3 linked regions of the Cricetulus griseus genome follow. The protein of the gene in region 2 purifies or fractionates together with the protein of the main gene of each other region. This does not show direct contact. Links are inferred from orthologs where the notes say so. Each region holds a gene or a part of one and is shown on either strand. Other genes may lie near its edges.

Evidence for each region. Proteins that work in one complex are often made in the same cells at the same time.
Region 1: the proteins of 14-3-3 protein epsilon (region 2) and Rab11fip1 purify together in Homo sapiens (affinity purification with mass spectrometry; 3 studies listed by BioGRID and IntAct, with this or other methods). This does not show direct contact. The link is inferred for Cricetulus griseus from reciprocal best matches to the Homo sapiens genes YWHAE and RAB11FIP1.
Region 3: the proteins of 14-3-3 protein epsilon (region 2) and Pank2 purify together in Homo sapiens (affinity purification with mass spectrometry; 3 studies listed by BioGRID and IntAct, with this or other methods). This does not show direct contact. The link is inferred for Cricetulus griseus from reciprocal best matches to the Homo sapiens genes YWHAE and PANK2.

Annotation. Positions count from the first base shown.
Region 1 is NW_023276807.1:56,694,445-56,697,567, reverse strand, and holds the end of Rab11fip1 (rab11 family-interacting protein 1), read right to left. Parts: intron 851-3,123; coding exon 632-850; 3' UTR 631-631; downstream 1-630. UniProt on the Homo sapiens protein: A Rab11 effector protein involved in the endosomal recycling process. Also involved in controlling membrane trafficking along the phagocytic pathway and in phagocytosis. Interaction with RAB14 may function in the process of neurite formation.
Region 2 is NC_048600.1:89,183,929-89,188,708, forward strand, and holds the start of 14-3-3 protein epsilon, read left to right. Parts: upstream 1-1,499; 5' UTR 1,500-1,613; coding exon 1,614-1,677; intron 1,678-4,780. UniProt on the Homo sapiens protein: Adapter protein implicated in the regulation of a large spectrum of both general and specialized signaling pathways. Binds to a large number of partners, usually by recognition of a phosphoserine or phosphothreonine motif.
Region 3 is NC_048599.1:47,283,856-47,288,044, forward strand, and holds part of Pank2 (pantothenate kinase 2, mitochondrial), read right to left. Parts: intron 1,631-4,189; coding exon 1,454-1,630; intron 1-1,453.

The DNA.
Region 1 (3,123 bases), on a different chromosome or scaffold from region 2:
CAGCAGTAATCCCAACACTTGGGAAGTGGGGGCAGGAAAATCAGAAGAAGGCTAGTCTCAGCTATACAGTGAGTTCAAGAGCAGCCTAGGCTATACAACAGCCTATCTGGAAAACAGACCAATGCCCCCTAAACAAAAACCCTACCAAAACAATCCTTGAGTCTGAGAAGTTCACAAGACAAAAATATTTAGAATCTGCCACACCTGAGCTGCTTGAAGGCCAAGAAAGGAGGTGAAACAGTATCCATAGTATAGTCCCTTTCTGATCTCACCCTAAGCCTGGCTTCATGGAGGATACACACTTGATGATCTCCGTATCAAAGGGCGAAAACCCCAGTGTTAAAATACATTAGTTCCGATGGTGCCTCCTGAATTGATGGCTCAGAGTCAAATCTTACATTTACAACTTAGTTAAAGGCACAGTGGCATTTAAAATTAAAATGCTAGGAATGTATAGAAAAGATTCATTGTAATAATTAACCTGGTTTCAACTAGGAGAATAAACTCTTGATAGACAATGCACACACCCAGTGATGAGAGCCTGTGTGCTGGTTACTATGAAGACCATGCCTTTGACCTTGAGAGTTGGTGGAAACAAGCTCACAAAATATCTCCATTTCCTTCCTGCGGTTCACATCTTTCCAGCCTTTTTGCCAAGCTGAGTCGGCACTCGGAGGATATTGGGGGTCTCCTCCATGACTCTGACTAGCAGGTTGTCTATGTAGTCTTCCAGCTCCCGCACCTGAAACTCCTTCTTGCTGATGGTTTCCTTCTGTTTGAGGACCAACTGGATCAGCTCATCATGGGTCAGCTGTGCATAGGCAAAGGCAGGATCCGAGGGCTGGTATTTCTGTGGGGAGGGGAGGAAGAGGGAAACAGTTACAAGTCAGCAGAGAAAGCAGACTTCTGAAAGGAATGCAAAGAAATTTCAGCAGCCATTGGAGTCTCTCTAACACTCATTTTGTTATTCTTCAGAGTCTCTCTATGTAGCCCTGGCTGACCTGAAACTCACTGTGTACACAGAACAGGCTGGCCATGAACTCATGGAGATCCGCCTGTCTCTGCCTTCCAGGTATTGGGATTAAAGGTTCATGCAATCACAGCTGGCTTGGAAATCCACTTTCAACATGGGCTGAAAACAGGTTGCTGACTAAAAAAAGTACCACAGACTTTGTAGACTGCGTAAAGGTTGCTTACATGCATTTTTACTTACTTTTTATTTTCTTTTTGCTTTATGATCCTTTGAAAAATGTAAAAACCAGGGGCCTGGGTGTAGCTCAGCAGTCGAACACTTGCTAGCATGTGTAAAGGCCCTGGGTTTGATCACCAGCATTTAAAAACCAGGAACTATCCTTGGTTTTTAATTCCTAGACCTCTGGTCTTGACCTGGGCACATGTTTTCAAGAAATTTAATAAGGGGGCTGGAGAGATGGCTCAGTGGTTAAGAGCACTGGCTGCTCTTTCAGAAAACCCAGGGTTCAATTCCTAGCATCCATATGGTAGCTCCTAACCATCTGAAACTCCAGTTCCCAAAAACCTAGCACTGTCTTTTTAGCTTCCTCTGGCACTGCACGCACATGCACACACACACACACACACACACACACACACACACACACACACACACACACACACAGATATACATGCAAGCAAAACAACCACAAACATTTAAAAAAAGGAAAAAAGAAGGAATATAATGAGAGCTTGGTGGGGAGGAGGGAAAGGAGGAAGAAAGCAACGTCAGATGGCAGTAGTAGTCACATAATCAGCAAGCCTCAGGCATAGTGTGCACACACTGGAGCCCAGCCACTTGGGGGGCTGAGGTAGATGAACCACTTGATCTCTCAAGTTCCTGGAGTTATACAACATGCAGAGCTGGAACAAGCCCCAAGTCAGAGTGGAAAGAAGATGTGGGGAGCACCCTCCTGCCTACACTGTAGGGTACCAGCTAATGAAGTCAGTCTGCTACCTTGAGGCACCCCAATTTGAGACTCTACCAAAACTTACTCCACACTCTCAAAACATGTATAGCTAAAGCCAAGTGCCACCAGGCCATGGACCTCACAGGTCACCTGAGTACACACACTCTGGGTACATAGTGGCCTGACCCAAGGACTGACTGTTTCTGTTTCTGAAGGGAGCACGTATCCGGAACAGTTGCTTTTAATGAGCATATATCATCTGGGCCAAGGAGACTCTAACTGCAAGCCTGAGAGTTCTGGGCCAAAAGGAAGCGAGAGACAAAAGACTCAGTAAGAAGTAACAAGTCACATCAAGGCCTTAGGAGGGAGTAAAAGGAAGGGCCTGGCAATCTGCACCTCAGATATACAAATTCAAGGAAACAAGACTCCAGAACAACTCAAGGTGATTTCTGCCCCCAGAACTCCAGGGCAGTAACAGGTTTTGTCACTTTTATCTTCTACCAGGAAGACCAATAAGTCAAGAACCTACCATCTCCAAGCAGAGCCAGGAGCCTGAACTAACAGTAATAGTCCAACAATAGCACAGAAGCCCCTCCCTGCCCCATCCAGAGAGCAAAGTGCCCAAGGAGAAGAATCCAGAGGAATTCTCCTTTCATTGGCTGGCTTAGAAACAAGAAAAACAAGCACTGTTTTCACATACACAGTAAGCATGAATCCAAATTAGGGGGCACATGAATAATGCAGATGCCAGGCTATTTCTCCCTTCCTCACCCCTGCTTTCGTCCTTTGAATTTGTTGAGGACATCTATATGGGGGGGGGGGGTTTGACCTTTTTTGGTCACGATACATAAGTGCTCTACCCCTGCACTCTGTGTGTGGCTTCCAAAACTAGATTCGAATTGGGCAAGATGGCACACACCTGTAATCCCAGCACTTAGAAAAGAGGTTAGCCTGAATCACGAAGCCAGCTTGGCTACAGTGAGACACTATCTCCCAAACAAAGCAAAACAAAAAACAAAAGAAGCTAAAAATCAGATTCAATGAAAAAGTTTTATGTCTAAGAAGTGTTCTGGACTTGGATACACAACAATGTGGATGCATTTAACACTACTAAATTATGTTTAAAATGAGGCTGGGCTATGGAGGCACACATCTTTAATCTGCACTCAGGACACAAAAGTAGACACAGGTCTCAGGAAGT
Region 2 (4,780 bases):
AGCCCTTTTTCTCTGAGGCTCAGCAGCAGATATTGAGTACAAGCTGTTGAAAATCGGGCTCAGCAGTTAAGAGTACTGGTTGCCCTTCCAGAGGTCCTGAGTTTAATTCCCAGCAATCACATGGTGACTCAAACTATGTATAGTGGGGGGCTGATGACCTCTTCTGTCATGCAGGCATACATGCAGATAGAACACTCATGTGTGTAAAATAAATAAATCTAAAAAAAAGGACGTTGAAAATCCAGTGGGAAGCAGAACATGATGTCCATTGCAAGAGAAGCAATTCCGATTGAGGGTTATTTGTTTCTAGCTAATTAATGTCAATTTGTCCTTACTCGACCTCTGGTGCACCTTGAACTCCAAACTAGGCATGCCACTTTCTTTTCCGCTTTAGTCAGGATTTCCCTATATAGCCTGGATTGGCTTCAAGTTGCTGATCTTATTCCAACTTGCTTCAACCTCAGCCACTATAGTGCTGGTATGGAGGGGTGGGATATAACCACGCATGCCCAGGAAAACCAGACACAGACACAGACACAGACACACACACACACCACACATCCGTCTGTCCTTCCTTCCTTCCTTCCTTCCTTCCTTCCTTCCTTCCTTCCTTCCTTCCTTCCTTCCTTCCTTCCTTCCGATGGAGGTCTCACAATGCAGCCCTGGCTGACCTGAAATTCGCTTTGTAGAGCAGGCTGGTCCCAATCTCAGAGATCCTCCTGACTCCTTAATGCTGAGATTAAAGGTATGCACCACCACACACACAAAAAAAACCAGAGACTTTTGTTTCTTTTTTGATTTTTAGAAGCAAGGTTTCTCTGTGTAACCTTGGCTGTCCTGGAACTGTGCAGACCAGGCTGGCTTCGAGAACTCATAGAGATCTGCCTTCCAATGCCTCCGGAGTGGTGGGGTTGAAGGAGTGTGGCACCAACACCACGTTAAAACCAGGGCCTTTAAACAAAAGTCCTATCTGTGATGGGCCAAAGCGATAAAATACGGCTGAAGGGAAGAAAAACATGATTACGGTGTGTGAACAAGAAAAAAGTTGGCGCGTAAAAACTGGAGCCCTCCCTTGTTCACCTGTCAGTTCTTTACACAGAGGTTAAAAGGCTCTGAAAAAGGCACATGAATGAGAAAAACGTGCAGGAATGCACAGTGAGTGGGTCTCAGTGAGGAAGGCCTGCAGTTGCAAGAACCCATCAAGCCTCTCGCTCGCTCGGTCTTTCCGCAGGCAGGCCTGTCCTCGGCCGGCGGCCACCGAACAGGATCCTGGCTCATTCCTTTAGCCCAGTCTCGGCCTCCAGCCTCTCCCGCTCGCCTGGGCCGTTCTTCTTCGCAGTCGCAGTTCCCGCCTTACTGCTGAGCCGACGGAGGAGGGGCGTCAGTCGTGCTGGTTCCAGCCTTTTCTGGCGCCGAACTCCCGGACCCGCCCCCCCGCGCCAGTTGCCAGGGAGCGGTTGCCATAGAGCTGAGCAGTTGTCCGCGTGCGCAGGCGGAAGTCCCGGATTGAAGCGCCGCCATTTTTACTGCTCGGACGCGGAGCGAGAAGCCGAGAGTCGGAGACGCTATCCGCTTCCATCCGTCGCGCAGACCCTGCCGGAGCCGCTGCCGCTATGGATGATCGGGAGGATCTGGTGTACCAGGCGAAGCTGGCAGAGCAGGCCGAGCGATACGACGGTGAGTTGGAGGGGTGTCGGGGGGCTGGAAGTCTCGGACCCTCCGCCGCCGCCCACAGAGGCCGGGAACCGGAGACAAAATGGCGGCATCGTCCCCGAGTCTGGCTCGGGACGCGGGTCGGGAAGCGGGAAATGTCCTGCGGGCTCCCGAAGCGGTGGGAGTCTCCGGGCCCAGGAATTTGACCCCTCCGGTGTCCTTAGCTTGCAGACGCTCGCCCGCCAGCAGGCCGGGGAGTAGGGTGGAGGAGTTGGTTGTAAAATGGCGGCTGAAGGGGGAGGGCGAGTCCCCGGGCGGGGGAGGGGGGAGGAGGTGGCGGGTGCCGTCTCCCGGCGCGCAATCCCCACGGGAGCTTTCGGGACCGTGGCGGGATGCGGAGGACAATCGGGTGGGGTGATGTGCGAAGCAGCAGCGGTCGCTCGGGGGAGGGCGGAATCTTAGGGAGCTGGAGCGCGGGCGCCTTTTCAGGGAAATATGGCGGGTGGGGGCGGTGGCTTTTCCCGGGAGGCCCAGTGTGGGGCGGCGGCTGTGGAGCCTCACAAAGGAGAAGCCTCAGGAGCGGACGGCTTCTCTGGGCCGCTGGTGGGGAGTCGTCTTTGGAGAGGGTGGAGTGTGTGGAAATCACTGCAGATTGATCATCCTTGGGTGGAGGCAAGCTGAGATGCTGCGATTGGATTCCTTCCCGCAGGCCGGCGCACCTCGGAGTTGAGGGTTTTGGGGGGCTTCTCTGCCTCGCCTCCTCCCATGGATGTGTGGAGCCTCACTCGTGCTCCGTTTGTTCTCACCCAGGGGATCCCAAAGTTCCTGTGGGTTTTTCTTTTTTCTTTTCCCAACCTTCAGAAGCCCGAGTTCTGATGGATAGAATTCTTAAATACAGGAGACCAGGCTTGCCAGGACCCTGTAATAATGATGGCTTTTTACAGTACCCGTGTCTCAAGTCTACCCGTTTGTAAAAATGACTTTTCTCTTCGCACTCAGCATTATGACACATGGAAAGACCTGTTGAAAAATAGTTAATTTAAATAATGTTTAGTAACACTCCCTTGGTTGACGACGTAAGTTTGGAAAATTCGTGTTGCTTGGCTTGGGGATCTTTACCTATTTTGAGGACTCGGTTGAGGCTTGGGGATTTTGAAATACAATTCTTTTTTTTTCCCCCTGTTTTATGACTTCATTGTTGCGTGGCTGGGGTTCCAACCCAGGGTTGCATGCATGCAAAGCAAGTGCTCATATACTAAGATACACTCTACCTCTGTTTTATCTATTTTAAGCAAATGGTTTTATGTACATATTTTAATAGTTATTTTGTTCACTCGACACCCACTACTTCCTCACCCCCGTGATGTAACCCAAGCCCTTGTACAGTGCTCTCTGTCACTAAGCTCTATCCTTAGCTCGTGCTAATTTGAATTTAGTCTTATCACCATTTCATTGAAATATCTTTTGTGTTTAGTCAGTTGTAGGCAATTTATGTTTTTTTTTGTGCCTTCCCTTTCTCTGATTTTGTACCTAGATACTTCAGTTAAGCAATATCTATCAAAGTAGTATTTTAAAAGTGATAAATCACATATATGTTTACCATGATTTATTTATGTTTGTTTAGGAATAGGGTCTCACTCTGTCGCTCTGGCTTTCTTGAAACCTTAGTATGTAGACCAGGCTGGCCTCTAACTCACAGAGATCCACCTATCAGTCTCCTGAGTGCTTTGATTAAAGGCATGTGCACTAAGGCAGATAGGTCCTTGTGATTTTAGTGTTGGGGGCTAGGATGGGATGCATGTTTGGAATTAAGTGTTATTGCCCCTAATTTTTTCCAAATTACTTAAGCCACTTGTTTTTCAAAAGTTAGGTCAGACCCTTTTCCTTGAATTCCAGTTTGGCTCTGTTGCAGCTTTTCTAGAACTAGTCCTAGAGTCTTGTCAGAAATTACTGTTCCAGCCTTTGGAATTTAGAACAGAAGGCTTCAAAACCCCCAGTTTAGGAAAGATACTAAACTGAATTTTGCCTTTCAGGTTTGAGTTGCTGTTGGCTTCTGTTGGGAGTGGGAGGAGGTGGGATGGGGAAAGTATGAATGTAGCTCAAGGTCAGCCTTCATTTTAGTGTTTGTAGCCAGGAGAGTTTGGTTGTAATGGAGGGTTCTCTCTCTGCCTCCCTGAAAGAAGTGTCCCCTGAATCTAGTGTCCTTGGGAGGAAACATGAAATTACATTTGAAGACTGGGGATTTAGGCTTAGTGTGAATGTGACCCCTCCTCCCAATAGAAAGGTATTAGGGAATCTTTTTGCTTTGTTTCTGAGTCATTTTTAGGAAGGATTTGGAAACTTGCATGATTGTAGCTTCCAAATAAATGGCAAGTTAACTTTAAATCATGCTTGTGATTTGAGTGCTGAGGGTTTCTGACTAAAGTCTGGCCTTGTTAGTTATTGAACATAGGAGTGTAGACAAGCCACTTGGTGACTGTCCCTTTGAGACTCTTAAAGAAAGAAGGGAATGCAATAGGAAGCACTGCAGTGATTTGGCATGAGGAGGGATCTAGAGCGGGAGAGGCAGGAAGGCAGTCAGGAAACCCACCACTACTTGACTGACTGCAGTGATTCAGCTTTGTTTGTGTAATAGAAATGGCTCTATAGAAGGGATCACTAAGTAAAATACCAACTGCAATGCGAATGCATTGGGATTCTGAGTTTTGGGTACTTGGATGTAAATGTTGGCCTTTTAGCTGACCTTCCTTCTTGTTACTGTCCTAGGTTTATCTTGTATTTTGCATACTATGTAGAATCTAGTGCCTGAAGTGTCTTTTACTCTCCCTATAGGGAATTGAAATCAATTTATATAGATTATTTAATGGTTTTGGAAGAGGAGGTGAGAAGCTATGTTTCACGAACAGAATCGTTTAGGAGTTTGTATAGGAATTATCAAAGTTTGAGACAAGGACTGTTGACTTTAATAAGTTTAATGTTTCGCTTGGTTTTTTGAGACAGGGTCTCTTTAAAGAGCCCTGGCTGTCCTCGAATTCACTATATAGTCCAGGTTGGCCTTGAACTCAGAAATCCTCCTGCCTCTGCCTCATAAGTGCTAGGGAGTGCTCTACAACACCCAGCTTAGTTT
Region 3 (4,189 bases), on a different chromosome or scaffold from region 2:
GGGTTTGATAGCACTTACCTATAATCCCAGCACTCAGAGGGCAAAGGCAGAAAGAGGAACAAAAACCTGAGGCCAGCCAGGACCATACACTGAAACCCAGTCTCAAAAAACCCAAATGAGGTTATAAGCGTCAACACTCAATGGATAGTATTTGCCAACAAAAGACGTGGAGAGGACTCCTAAACAAAAAGACAATGATATAGAATAAGTTAATCTCTCTTAAGATCCTGGGGCTGGAGCCAGGCATTGGTGGTGCACACCTTTAATCCCAGCACTCGGGAGGCAGGCAGATCTCTATGAGTTTGAGACCAGCCTGGATAGAGACCAGCTAGTTCCAGGATAGCCTCCAAAGCCACAGAGAAACCCTGTCTCGAAAAAACAAAAAAAAAAAAAAAAAAAAAAAAAAAAGATCCTGGGGCTGTAAAATGGTATGGTCACATTGGAAAGCAGTCTAGTAGTTCCTCAAAAGACTAAATATAAAGTTACCAGGCAGCATACCAATTTCATTCCTAGGTAGAGATCAAGAATATTAAAGCAGGTTAGAGTAGCACAGGCTTTTAACTTGGGAGGCAGAGGCAGCCAGTTCTCAAGTTTGAGGCTTGCCAAGTTTATAGAGTGAGTCCCAGAGGAGCTGGGGCTACATAGAGAAACTCTGAACCAAACAAGCAAGCAAACAAAAAGAAAAAAAGAAAGAAAATTAAATGTCCATACAAAAAACAAGTACACATGTCTTCATCACTATTCATGACAGCCAAAAAAAAAGTGGGAATACACAATGTTTATTAGTTAATACATAAAATATGGTAGTCACATAATAGACCACTCAGCAATAAAAAGAAATAATTCTGTAAACATTGCAGTAAGTGACATGAAGCTGGTTATGACAGATCATACTACATGATACCATATATACGAAATGTTCAGAGTAACCAAATCCAGAGGCAGAAAAAAAAAAAAAAAAAAGAGGCGCTGGGAAGGTTGAGAGGTGAAATGGAAAAGTAACAGCTAAGGGCTGCAAGATTTCTTTCTAAAATGATAAAAAATATTCTAAAACTGAATTATAGTAATAGCTGCAAAATTCTGCAAATACACAACAAACCACCAAATCACACTTTAAAAAAAAAAAAAAAAAAAAAAGACAAATGCTTACGTATACCAGACTAGCTTCCAATTCACTATGAAGCACAAAATGATCTGGAACTCCTGATCCTCCTGCCTCCATGCCAGGGCTGAGATTATAGACATGTACCATACCCAGTTTATACAGTGCTAGAGAATCATATACACTAGTACAGGGCTCCATAAATACTAGTACATATTCTACTAACTGAACTACATCTTCAGCCCCAAATTAAATATTTTAAACAGATAACTTTATAAGTTACATTTCAATGAAACTGTTTAAAATAAAACATATACCTAATAGTTTCTTACCACATACATACGCCCTTACCTTGAAGCCACAGCCCAGCCTGGCAATCCAAACCGTTCATAGTCTCCTCCATAAATGTCTCGAACTAATTTGTCCACTTTGGTGCTATCCCCACGAGATGCCATTTCAAGAGCTTCTTCAAAAGTGCTACAGCCAGTAAGAAGACAGCAGAGACCAAAGAAAGTTCCTCCTCCAAGACTATGATAAAAAGTAAACAATGTAGTATTTTTAAAACACAGGAATGGGATGTTAAGACTTATGAACTCCAAACAATATTCATGTATCAGTCTACTCTTGCCCCAATTAGATCATGCACGATACCAATAAGTTTGCAAGATAAATGTAAGTGCCTCATAAATACAAAATGTATATGTCCATGTGAGCCAACAAAGTAGAAAAAAAAATATATCCCATCTCCTTGTACGTGTCCCAAGCGCTGTCCACTCTTGCTGAGTATACAAGCCTCAGGTACACATAAGTAAGGCCAACATACCCAGAGTCATGGCAGCACCTACTTTCTGTCTTCAAGTGCAGAGTGACCTCTGACATCATTCAAGCACCTGTCACTAACCCACCAGACTCCTTTATTGAAACCCCTGTCTCCAATACTCTCATTTGTTGGCTAATGATTATTATACTCATTAGGTTAAGAGTTATTCAAACCCTCAGTTCCTTTTTTTCCTCAAATAACCCTTGAACTTTAACCAAAACATTCATTTTCTTTCATCTAATCCTCCCTTTTCAAATCACTTTTCTACTTATCAGTATCTCAACTTCTAGATCCACATTGTCTTACTTTTCTATTCCTGTGATAAGACACCATGACCAAGATGCCCTATATAAAGAATTGGGGAATACAGTTTCAGTCCATGAAAAGTTATGACAGAAAGCATGGTAGCAGGCAGGCATGGCACTGGAGCAGTAGCTGAGATCTCACACCTTGAGACATAACCATAAGGCAAAGAGAGCTAACTGGGAATGGCTAGGGTTTTTAAAACCTCAATGTGACAAATCTCCTCCAATGAGGCCACCCTTCTTAATCCTCCCAAACACTTCCATCAACTGAGGACCAAGCATTCGAATATATGACCCTATGAGAAGGCATTCTCATCCAAACCACCACATTCCACCCTGGCCCCCATAGGCTTGTAGCCATATCATAATGCAAAATGTATTTAGTCCACCCCCAAAAGTTCCCATAGTATTTCAGTCTCAACACTGTTTAAGTCTATCCATGTCTCTTCCAAGACTCAAGGCAATCCAGTAACAGTAACCCCATGTAAAAGCAAAAGCAAAAATCAGGTCACATAGTCCTGACATACAATGCACGGAATACACATTGCCATCCCAGATGGAGGAAAGGTCAAAGTGAGGAAATACTGGACCAAACCAAGACTGAAAAATAGCAAGGCAAACTCCAAATCCACTATTTCTGTCTGATGGCAAAGGACTTAAATGGCTTTCCCCTTCCAGCTTTGCCAACTATTACACACTTCTCTCTTTTGGGCTGGTTCCACAGCCTGCCTGTGACTCTCCTTAGCAGGTATTCCAAGGCTCTGGTGTCTCCAATATCTTGGGATCTCTAAGGCAATCCAGGCTTCACCTTCACAGCTTCATACATGGCCTCTCAGGGCCTCCATGAAGGGACTTCCCTGCCATATGCGTGGCCTCAAGTGGTTTTCCTTAATCATGAAGACTCCACACCACTTTACTCATGTATCTGTCTTGACGCTAAAGCCAAAACCATGTCGGTAACTGCCAAGTTAAGCTGCCTGCTTAGGAAGAGACCTGGCCCCTTCCTGAATTACACTTGCAGCAGCTTTCCTTTATTGCTGGTTTTTGTTTGTTCTGAGCAGAAAATTTTCCAGGCATTTCCTTCTTACAAGTTGAAAGCTTAGCTGGGTAGTTTCTTGCTCTGAGAGCACCCACCCCTTTTATTTTATTTACCATCAGGCCTCACCTTATCTTTCAGCATAGGCCTTGGTTCTGACATTAAATCTTCTAATGCTATTTTTCCACTTCAAACTGTATATTTTGTATTTCTTTTTGTTTCACTTATCCTTTTGCACTGAAGATCTTCTCAGCCAAGAAAATTAATGCATCATTTTTTCAATTTTGCCTCAGGCATTTTTTTAGGACAAGAGCAGAAAGTAACCATATTCATTCCAGAATATCACAAGAATGATCTCTAACTCAGTTGCTAATATTGTTCTCCTCTGAAACACTTTTTGTTTGGTTTTTTTGCTTGTTTGTTTGTTTGTCTGAAACAGAGTCTCTATATCAGCATTTTTCAACCTGTGGGTTGCAACCCCTTTAAGGGTCAAATGACCCTTTTACAAGAATCATCCGAGACCATCACAATTCCTAACAGTAACAAAATTAGCATAGAAAATAATTTTATGGTTGCGGGTCACTACAACATGAGGACTGTACTAAAGGGTCACACAGCATTAAAAAGGCTGAGAACTAGTTATATAGTCCTGACTGCCTGGAATTCTGTAAGAACAGTCTGGTCTTGAACTCAGAGATCCTCCTGCCTCTGCCTCCTGAGTGCTGGGATTAACAGCATACACCATACCATACCTGACCCCATCTGAAACCTCTTGAGCTGGGCATCCATAGTCAACATTGCTCTTAGTACTGCTGTCTTCCAAGTTCCTACTAAGATGGTCCTATTCAGCCCTGCTTTCAGCATTTAACCACTTTCCTAATCCAAAGCCCCAAAGTCCACATACCACGAGCCTGTCACGCCAATAG